3 linked regions of the Saccharomyces cerevisiae S288C genome follow. The protein of the gene in region 1 purifies or fractionates together with the protein of each later gene. This does not show direct contact. Each region holds a gene or a part of one and is shown in the gene's direction. Other genes may lie near its edges. The genes, in order: TDH1, GPM1 and FBA1.

Region 1 (3,500 bases):
TTTGGGTCTATCTTTATAATAGTGTAACTACTGCGCCAAATACCCTTTCCGCAAATGAGACAAAGGCAACCACTAATGACATCGCTGGTGGTAACTATGCTGCAGATAATGCGAGTGACAACACGCAAACAAAGAGCACCCAGGGTGAGGCGGCAGACGTTAATCAAGTTTTGCCGATATCACATTCAAATAATGAGCCCAAGCCTGTTAGATTGGATATAGGTATAGAAAATTGCCTTCACATTGAGTTTGAATATGCCAAATCCCAGTACAGCTTAAAAGAAGTCATTGTGGGGCGTATATATTTCCTTTTAACGAGACTAAGGATAAAACATATGGAATTAAGCTTGATCACAAGAGAATCTTCCGGCCTACAAACTTCTAATGTAATGACAGATTCCACTGCTATCCGATACGAAATAATGGATGGGTCTTCAGTGAAAGGTGAAACCATACCCATAAGATTATTCTTGAGCGGCTATGACCTGACGCCCAATATGAGCTGCAACTACTTTAACGTCAAGAATTATTTGAGCTTGGTTATTATCGATGAAGATGGCAGAAGATATTTTAAACAATCAGAAATAACATTGTACAGGACCCGGTAGAAAAGCTCGACCTTAAATAAGGTGAAGATGTGGTTCTCTGTTCTTTCAACATCTCGATATTTAACTTTTCGTTTGGCATTATAGTGTTATACATAACAATATCTAGATTTCAGTAGAAGACTTTTGCGTAAGTTATAACGAACTAAACAAGCAAGAGGTAAAATACGATATAGTAAGAAGCTCAAGTGCTAAAACTTTTTTTCTCTACGAAAGGAGGAATAGCATATGGTTTTCTTCCCTTTTACAGTGCTTCGGAAAAGCACAGCGTTGTCCAAGGGAACAATTTTTCTTCAAGTTAATGCATAAGAAATATCTTTTTTTATGTTTAGCTAAGTAAAAGCAGCTTGGAGTAAAAAAAAAAATGAGTAAATTTCTCGATGGATTAGTTTCTCACAGGTAACATAACAAAAACCAAGAAAAGCCCGCTTCTGAAAACTACAGTTGACTTGTATGCTAAAGGGCCAGACTAATGGGAGGAGAAAAAGAAACGAATGTATATGCTCATTTACACTCTATATCACCATATGGAGGATAAGTTGGGCTGAGCTTCTGATCCAATTTATTCTATCCATTAGTTGCTGATATGTCCCACCAGCCAACACTTGATAGTATCTACTCGCCATTCACTTCCAGCAGCGCCAGTAGGGTTGTTGAGCTTAGTAAAAATGTGCGCACCACAAGCCTACATGACTCCACGTCACATGAAACCACACCGTGGGGCCTTGTTGCGCTAGGAATAGGATATGCGACGAAGACGCTTCTGCTTAGTAACCACACCACATTTTCAGGGGGTCGATCTGCTTGCTTCCTTTACTGTCACGAGCGGCCCATAATCGCGCTTTTTTTTTAAAAGGCGCGAGACAGCAAACAGGAAGCTCGGGTTTCAACCTTCGGAGTGGTCGCAGATCTGGAGACTGGATCTTTACAATACAGTAAGGCAAGCCACCATCTGCTTCTTAGGTGCATGCGACGGTATCCACGTGCAGAACAACATAGTCTGAAGAAGGGGGGGAGGAGCATGTTCATTCTCTGTAGCAGTAAGAGCTTGGTGATAATGACCAAAACTGGAGTCTCGAAATCATATAAATAGACAATATATTTTCACACAATGAGATTTGTAGTACAGTTCTATTCTCTCTCTTGCATAAATAAGAAATTCATCAAGAACTTGGTTTGATATTTCACCAACACACACAAAAAACAGTACTTCACTAAATTTACACACAAAACAAAATGATCAGAATTGCTATTAACGGTTTCGGTAGAATCGGTAGATTGGTCTTGAGATTGGCTTTGCAAAGAAAAGACATTGAGGTTGTTGCTGTCAACGATCCATTTATCTCTAACGATTATGCTGCTTACATGGTCAAGTACGATTCTACTCATGGTAGATACAAGGGTACTGTTTCCCATGACGACAAGCACATCATCATTGATGGTGTCAAGATCGCTACCTACCAAGAAAGAGACCCAGCTAACTTGCCATGGGGTTCTCTAAAGATCGATGTCGCTGTTGACTCCACTGGTGTTTTCAAGGAATTGGACACCGCTCAAAAGCACATTGACGCTGGTGCCAAGAAGGTTGTCATCACTGCTCCATCTTCTTCTGCTCCAATGTTTGTTGTTGGTGTTAACCACACTAAATACACTCCAGACAAGAAGATTGTCTCCAACGCTTCTTGTACCACCAACTGTTTGGCTCCATTGGCCAAGGTTATCAACGATGCTTTCGGTATTGAAGAAGGTTTGATGACCACTGTTCACTCCATGACCGCCACTCAAAAGACTGTTGATGGTCCATCCCACAAGGACTGGAGAGGTGGTAGAACCGCTTCCGGTAACATTATCCCATCCTCTACCGGTGCTGCTAAGGCTGTCGGTAAGGTCTTGCCAGAATTGCAAGGTAAGTTGACCGGTATGGCTTTCAGAGTCCCAACCGTCGATGTTTCCGTTGTTGACTTGACTGTCAAGTTGGAAAAGGAAGCTACTTACGACCAAATCAAGAAGGCTGTTAAGGCTGCCGCTGAAGGTCCAATGAAGGGTGTTTTGGGTTACACCGAAGATGCCGTTGTCTCCTCTGATTTCTTGGGTGACACTCACGCTTCCATCTTCGATGCCTCCGCTGGTATCCAATTGTCTCCAAAGTTCGTCAAGTTGATTTCCTGGTACGATAACGAATACGGTTACTCCGCCAGAGTTGTTGACTTGATCGAATATGTTGCCAAGGCTTAAATAAAGCAATCTTGATGAGGATAATGATTTTTTTTTGAATATACATAAATACTACCGTTTTTCTGCTAGATTTTGTGAAGACGTAAATAAGTACATATTACTTTTTAAGCCAAGACAAGATTAAGCATTAACTTTACCCTTTTCTCTTCTAAGTTTCAATACTAGTTATCACTGTTTAAAAGTTATGGCGAGAACGTCGGCGGTTAAAATATATTACCCTGAACGTGGTGAATTGAAGTTCTAGGATGGTTTAAAGATTTTTCCTTTTTGGGAAATAAGTAAACAATATATTGCTGCCTTTGCAAAACGCACATACCCACAATATGTGACTATTGGCAAAGAACGCATTATCCTTTGAAGAGGTGGATACTGATACTAAGAGAGTCTCTATTCCGGCTCCACTTTTAGTCCAGAGATTACTTGTCTTCTTACGTATCAGAACAAGAAAGCATTTCCAAAGTAATTGCATTTGCCCTTGAGCAGTATATATATACTAAGAAAGGAATCATACTCTCTTATGTGCCATAATTCTGTTAGGAGCGGAAATAAGGCTGGTTTTTTGGGGATCAAGTTCGGAAGTGCTCTTCTCTCAATTGCCACAGGTGCCATTGCTATCGCATTGCTATGCAAGTTCCACGACCACGAAGCGGTACTGATAGT
Region 2 (3,037 bases), on another chromosome or scaffold:
CTTATGATCGTCAAAAGGAGCACACACCCACACACGACTCCTTTGCGCTGTAAAGGGCAGAATAGGGAGTGATGTGATGTGATGCGATGTGATGGGTCTTGCAACGTGATCTAGTAGATATATATGTAAAGGTGTAAATAGGTATATAGGCGTCGGTGAAATTTTATTAGCAACACCAGTTCAATACGATCACTACCGTATCACTGGAAATGTTAGCAGAATTGTCTCATAGAGAATTGATAAAGTTGGCGCAGAAAAGATGTATACCACCTTTATTGCCAAAGTTTCATAAGGGACAGTCTGGTGGGAGAGTTTGCATTATTGGAGGATGCGAAGATTATACAGGGGCACCGTATTTCAGCGCCAATGCTACAGCCTTGATGGGCTGTGATTTGACACATGTCATCTGCGAATACAACGCTGGTACGGTCATTAAATCGTACACCCCAAACCTAATGGTTCATCCATACCTTCGTATGAGTAACACCAAATTAGACGTTGATATGGACGAACAAAGGAAGAAAATCAATTCCTTATTGGATAGAATCCACGTTGTGGTAATTGGACCCGGCTTGGGTAGGGACCCCCTAATGTTAAAATCCATTAAGGATATCATAAGATATATACTTGAAAAACATGAGGGCAAGATCCCGTTAGTAATTGATGCTGATGGACTGTTCTTAGTAACTCAAGATAGCGAAGTCAAAGAAATGCTGAAAAGCTACCCCAAAGGTAGAGTGATCTTGACGCCCAATGTGGTAGAATTCAAAAGACTATGTGATGCCATAGGCAAGAAGGGAGACTCTCACTCCGAGATGGGCAGCTTGATCGCCCAGGAATTGAATTGTATTGTGGTGGAGAAAGGTCAGTCAGATAAGATATTCTCACCCGATAGTGAAAAAGACATGTTGACGAACAGCGAAGAGGGCAGCAACAAGAGGGTAGGAGGCCAAGGTGATACTTTGACAGGAGCTATATCATGCATGCTTGCATTTAGTCGTGCAATGTATGACTTTAAGATTTGTGAGCAGGAAGAAAAGGGAGAATCTTCTAACGATAAACCCTTGAAAAACTGGGTAGACTACGCTATGTTGAGTTGCTACGCAGGCTGCACAATTACACGAGAATGCTCCCGCCTAGGATTTAAGGCTAAGGGACGTGCAATGCAGACGACAGATCTAAATGACCGTGTCGGTGAAGTGTTCGCCAAACTTTTCGGTTAACACATGCAGTGATGCACGCGCGATGGTGCTAAGTTACATATATATATATATATATATATATATATATATATAGCCATAGTGATGTCTAAGTAACCTTTATGGTATATTTCTTAATGTGGAAAGATACTAGCGCGCGCACCCACACACAAGCTTCGTCTTTTCTTGAAGAAAAGAGGAAGCTCGCTAAATGGGATTCCACTTTCCGTTCCCTGCCAGCTGATGGAAAAAGGTTAGTGGAACGATGAAGAATAAAAAGAGAGATCCACTGAGGTGAAATTTCAGCTGACAGCGAGTTTCATGATCGTGATGAACAATGGTAACGAGTTGTGGCTGTTGCCAGGGAGGGTGGTTCTCAACTTTTAATGTATGGCCAAATCGCTACTTGGGTTTGTTATATAACAAAGAAGAAATAATGAACTGATTCTCTTCCTCCTTCTTGTCCTTTCTTAATTCTGTTGTAATTACCTTCCTTTGTAATTTTTTTTGTAATTATTCTTCTTAATAATCCAAACAAACACACATATTACAATAATGCCAAAGTTAGTTTTAGTTAGACACGGTCAATCCGAATGGAACGAAAAGAACTTATTCACCGGTTGGGTTGATGTTAAATTGTCTGCCAAGGGTCAACAAGAAGCCGCTAGAGCCGGTGAATTGTTGAAGGAAAAGAAGGTCTACCCAGACGTCTTGTACACTTCCAAGTTGTCCAGAGCTATCCAAACTGCTAACATTGCTTTGGAAAAGGCTGACAGATTATGGATTCCAGTCAACAGATCCTGGAGATTGAACGAAAGACATTACGGTGACTTACAAGGTAAGGACAAGGCTGAAACTTTGAAGAAGTTCGGTGAAGAAAAATTCAACACCTACAGAAGATCCTTCGATGTTCCACCTCCCCCAATCGACGCTTCTTCTCCATTCTCTCAAAAGGGTGATGAAAGATACAAGTACGTTGACCCAAATGTCTTGCCAGAAACTGAATCTTTGGCTTTGGTCATTGACAGATTGTTGCCATACTGGCAAGATGTCATTGCCAAGGACTTGTTGAGTGGTAAGACCGTCATGATCGCCGCTCACGGTAACTCCTTGAGAGGTTTGGTTAAGCACTTGGAAGGTATCTCTGATGCTGACATTGCTAAGTTGAACATCCCAACTGGTATTCCATTGGTCTTCGAATTGGACGAAAACTTGAAGCCATCTAAGCCATCTTACTACTTGGACCCAGAAGCTGCCGCTGCTGGTGCCGCTGCTGTTGCCAACCAAGGTAAGAAATAAGTCTGAAGAATGAATGATTTGATGATTTCTTTTTCCCTCCATTTTTCTTACTGAATATATCAATGATATAGACTTGTATAGTTTATTATTTCAAATTAAGTAGCTATATATAGTCAAGATAACGTTTGTTTGACACGATTACATTATTCGTCGACATCTTTTTTCAGCCTGTCGTGGTAGCAATTTGAGGAGTATTATTAATTGAATAGGTTCATTTTGCGCTCGCATAAACAGTTTTCGTCAGGGACAGTATGTTGGAATGAGTGGTAATTAATGGTGACATGACATGTTATAGCAATAACCTTGATGTTTACATCGTAGTTTAATGTACACCCCGCGAATTCGTTCAAGTAGGAGTGCACCAATTGCAAAGGGAAAAGCTGAATGGGCAGTTCGAATAGTACTTAAGATTAGTTAAAAGTCCATGATTGAACATTGATGTGGTAGTTACATGCATGATGAATATGCGCCATGAGAGGTTGGTGAATTTTGAGATAATTGTTGGGATTCCAATGTTGATAAAGGCTGTTATATTATGT
Region 3 (3,511 bases), on another chromosome or scaffold:
TGCCTTTGTTATACCTAGATCTACTAGTGTCATAGTAAAAAGATCTCCAGCAATTAAATCATTCTCCGTACACAGTCGACTTAAAGGGAATGTGGGAGCAGCAGCTCTTGGGAACGCAACAAGGTATGTTACTGGTAGGCCAAGAGTGTTGCAAAAGAGACAACACACTGCTACAACCACTGCTAATGTTAGTGGTACAACGGAAGAAGAAAGAATTGCTAGTATGTTTGCCACACAAGAAAATCAATGGGAACAAACGCAAGAAGAAATGTCTGCAGCCACACCTGTTTTTTTCAAGTCACAGACGAATAAGAATTCTGCACAAGAAAACGAAGGCCCACCGCCACCAGGTTATATGTGCTATCGTTGTGGGGGTAGAGACCACTGGATTAAAAATTGTCCAACTAACAGCGATCCAAATTTTGAAGGAAAAAGAATCAGAAGAACCACAGGTATTCCAAAGAAGTTTTTAAAATCCATTGAAATAGATCCCGAGACAATGACACCGGAAGAGATGGCTCAGCGAAAGATTATGATTACGGACGAAGGCAAGTTCGTGGTACAAGTTGAAGACAAACAATCATGGGAAGACTACCAAAGGAAAAGAGAGAACCGTCAAATTGATGGTGATGAAACCATTTGGAGAAAAGGCCATTTCAAAGATCTTCCTGACGATTTAAAATGTCCCTTGACAGGTGGTCTTTTGAGGCAGCCGGTAAAGACAAGCAAGTGCTGTAACATAGATTTCTCAAAAGAGGCGCTGGAAAATGCACTGGTAGAGAGCGACTTTGTATGCCCCAATTGCGAAACCCGCGATATCCTTCTCGATTCTTTAGTACCCGACCAGGACAAGGAAAAGGAGGTCGAAACGTTTTTGAAGAAACAAGAGGAACTACACGGAAGCTCTAAAGATGGCAACCAGCCAGAAACTAAGAAAATGAAGTTGATGGATCCAACTGGCACCGCTGGCTTGAACAACAATACCAGCCTTCCAACTTCTGTAAATAACGGCGGTACGCCAGTGCCACCAGTACCGTTACCTTTCGGTATACCTCCTTTCCCCATGTTTCCAATGCCCTTCATGCCTCCAACGGCTACTATCACAAATCCTCATCAAGCTGACGCAAGCCCTAAGAAATGAATAACAATACTGACAGTACTAAATAATTGCCTACTTGGCTTCACATACGTTGCATACGTCGATATAGATAATAATGATAATGACAGCAGGATTATCGTAATACGTAATAGTTGAAAATCTCAAAAATGTGTGGGTCATTACGTAAATAATGATAGGAATGGGATTCTTCTATTTTTCCTTTTTCCATTCTAGCAGCCGTCGGGAAAACGTGGCATCCTCTCTTTCGGGCTCAATTGGAGTCACGCTGCCGTGAGCATCCTCTCTTTCCATATCTAACAACTGAGCACGTAACCAATGGAAAAGCATGAGCTTAGCGTTGCTCCAAAAAAGTATTGGATGGTTAATACCATTTGTCTGTTCTCTTCTGACTTTGACTCCTCAAAAAAAAAAAATCTACAATCAACAGATCGCTTCAATTACGCCCTCACAAAAACTTTTTTCCTTCTTCTTCGCCCACGTTAAATTTTATCCCTCATGTTGTCTAACGGATTTCTGCACTTGATTTATTATAAAAAGACAAAGACATAATACTTCTCTATCAATTTCAGTTATTGTTCTTCCTTGCGTTATTCTTCTGTTCTTCTTTTTCTTTTGTCATATATAACCATAACCAAGTAATACATATTCAAAATGGGTGTTGAACAAATCTTAAAGAGAAAGACCGGTGTCATCGTTGGTGAAGATGTCCACAACTTATTCACTTACGCTAAGGAACACAAGTTCGCTATTCCAGCTATTAACGTCACCTCTTCTTCTACTGCCGTCGCTGCTTTAGAAGCTGCTAGAGACAGCAAGTCCCCAATCATTTTGCAAACCTCTAACGGTGGTGCTGCTTACTTCGCTGGTAAGGGTATCTCTAACGAAGGTCAAAATGCTTCCATCAAGGGTGCTATTGCCGCTGCCCACTACATCAGATCCATTGCTCCAGCTTACGGTATCCCAGTTGTCTTACACTCTGACCACTGTGCCAAGAAGTTGTTGCCATGGTTCGATGGTATGTTGGAAGCTGATGAAGCTTACTTCAAGGAACACGGTGAACCATTATTCTCCTCCCACATGTTGGATTTGTCTGAAGAAACCGATGAAGAAAACATCTCTACTTGTGTCAAGTACTTCAAGAGAATGGCCGCTATGGACCAATGGTTAGAAATGGAAATCGGTATTACCGGTGGTGAAGAAGATGGTGTTAACAACGAAAACGCTGACAAGGAAGACTTGTACACCAAGCCAGAACAAGTTTACAACGTCTACAAGGCTTTGCACCCAATCTCTCCAAACTTCTCCATTGCTGCTGCTTTCGGTAACTGTCACGGTTTGTACGCTGGTGACATCGCTTTGAGACCAGAAATCTTGGCTGAACACCAAAAGTACACCAGAGAACAAGTTGGTTGCAAGGAAGAAAAGCCATTGTTCTTGGTCTTCCACGGTGGTTCCGGTTCTACTGTCCAAGAATTCCACACTGGTATTGACAACGGTGTTGTCAAGGTCAACTTGGACACTGACTGTCAATACGCTTACTTGACTGGTATCAGAGACTACGTCTTGAACAAGAAGGACTACATAATGTCCCCAGTCGGTAACCCAGAAGGTCCAGAAAAGCCAAACAAGAAGTTCTTCGACCCAAGAGTCTGGGTTAGAGAAGGTGAAAAGACCATGGGTGCTAAGATCACCAAGTCTTTGGAAACTTTCCGTACCACTAACACTTTATAAGTTAATTCAAATTAATTGATATAGTTTTTTAATGAGTATTGAATCTGTTTAGAAATAATGGAATATTATTTTTATTTATTTATTTATATTATTGGTCGGCTCTTTTCTTCTGAAGGTCAATGACAAAATGATATGAAGGAAATAATGATTTCTAAAATTTTACAACGTAAGATATTTTTACAAAAGCCTAGCTCATCTTTTGTCATGCACTATTTTACTCACGCTTGAAATTAACGGCCAGTCCACTGCGGAGTCATTTCAAAGTCATCCTAATCGATCTATCGTTTTTGATAGCTCATTTTGGAGTTCGCGATTGTCTTCTGTTATTCACAACTGTTTTAATTTTTATTTCATTCTGGAACTCTTCGAGTTCTTTGTAAAGTCTTTCATAGTAGCTTACTTTATCCTCCAACATATTTAACTTCATGTCAATTTCGGCTCTTAAATTTTCCACATCATCAAGTTCAACATCATCTTTTAACTTGAATTTATTCTCTAGCTCTTCCAACCAAGCCTCATTGCTCCTTGATTTACTGGTGAAAAGTGATACACTTTGCGCGCAATCCAGGTCAAAACTTTCCTGCAAAGAATTCACCAATTTCTCGACATCATAGTACAATTTGTTTTGTTCTCCCATCACAATTTAATATACCTGATGGA

What was found.
Region 2: the proteins of TDH1 (region 1) and GPM1 purify together in Saccharomyces cerevisiae (affinity purification with mass spectrometry; 2 studies listed by BioGRID, with this or other methods). This does not show direct contact.
Region 3: the proteins of TDH1 (region 1) and FBA1 purify together in Saccharomyces cerevisiae (affinity purification with mass spectrometry; 2 studies listed by BioGRID, with this or other methods). This does not show direct contact.

The regions. Positions count from the first base shown.
Region 1 is NC_001142.9:336,430-339,929, forward strand, and holds TDH1 (glyceraldehyde-3-phosphate dehydrogenase (phosphorylating) TDH1), read left to right. Parts: upstream 1-1,841; coding exon 1,842-2,840; downstream 2,841-3,500. Other genes in the region: retromer subunit PEP8, read left to right, coding at 1-608; YJL052C-A (uncharacterized protein), read right to left, coding at 1,455-1,574; IRC8 (Irc8p), read left to right, coding at 3,358-3,500. UniProt on the Saccharomyces cerevisiae protein: Glyceraldehyde-3-phosphate dehydrogenase (GAPDH) involved in glycolysis and gluconeogenesis. Catalyzes the reaction of glyceraldehyde-3-phosphate to 1,3 bis-phosphoglycerate.
Region 2 is NC_001143.9:163,103-166,139, reverse strand, and holds GPM1 (phosphoglycerate mutase GPM1), read left to right. Parts: upstream 1-1,754; coding exon 1,755-2,498; downstream 2,499-3,037. Other genes in the region: NNR2 (NADHX dehydratase), read left to right, coding at 210-1,223. UniProt on the Saccharomyces cerevisiae protein: Interconversion of 3- and 2-phosphoglycerate with 2,3-bisphosphoglycerate as the primer of the reaction. Can also catalyze the reaction of EC 5.4.2.4 (synthase), but with a reduced activity.
Region 3 is NC_001143.9:325,748-329,258, reverse strand, and holds FBA1 (fructose-bisphosphate aldolase FBA1), read left to right. Parts: upstream 1-1,771; coding exon 1,772-2,851; downstream 2,852-3,511. Other genes in the region: cleavage polyadenylation factor subunit MPE1, read left to right, coding at 1-1,141; BLI1 (Bli1p), read right to left, coding at 3,147-3,488. UniProt on the Saccharomyces cerevisiae protein: Catalyzes the aldol condensation of dihydroxyacetone phosphate (DHAP or glycerone-phosphate) with glyceraldehyde 3-phosphate (G3P) to form fructose 1,6-bisphosphate (FBP) in gluconeogenesis and the reverse reaction in glycolysis.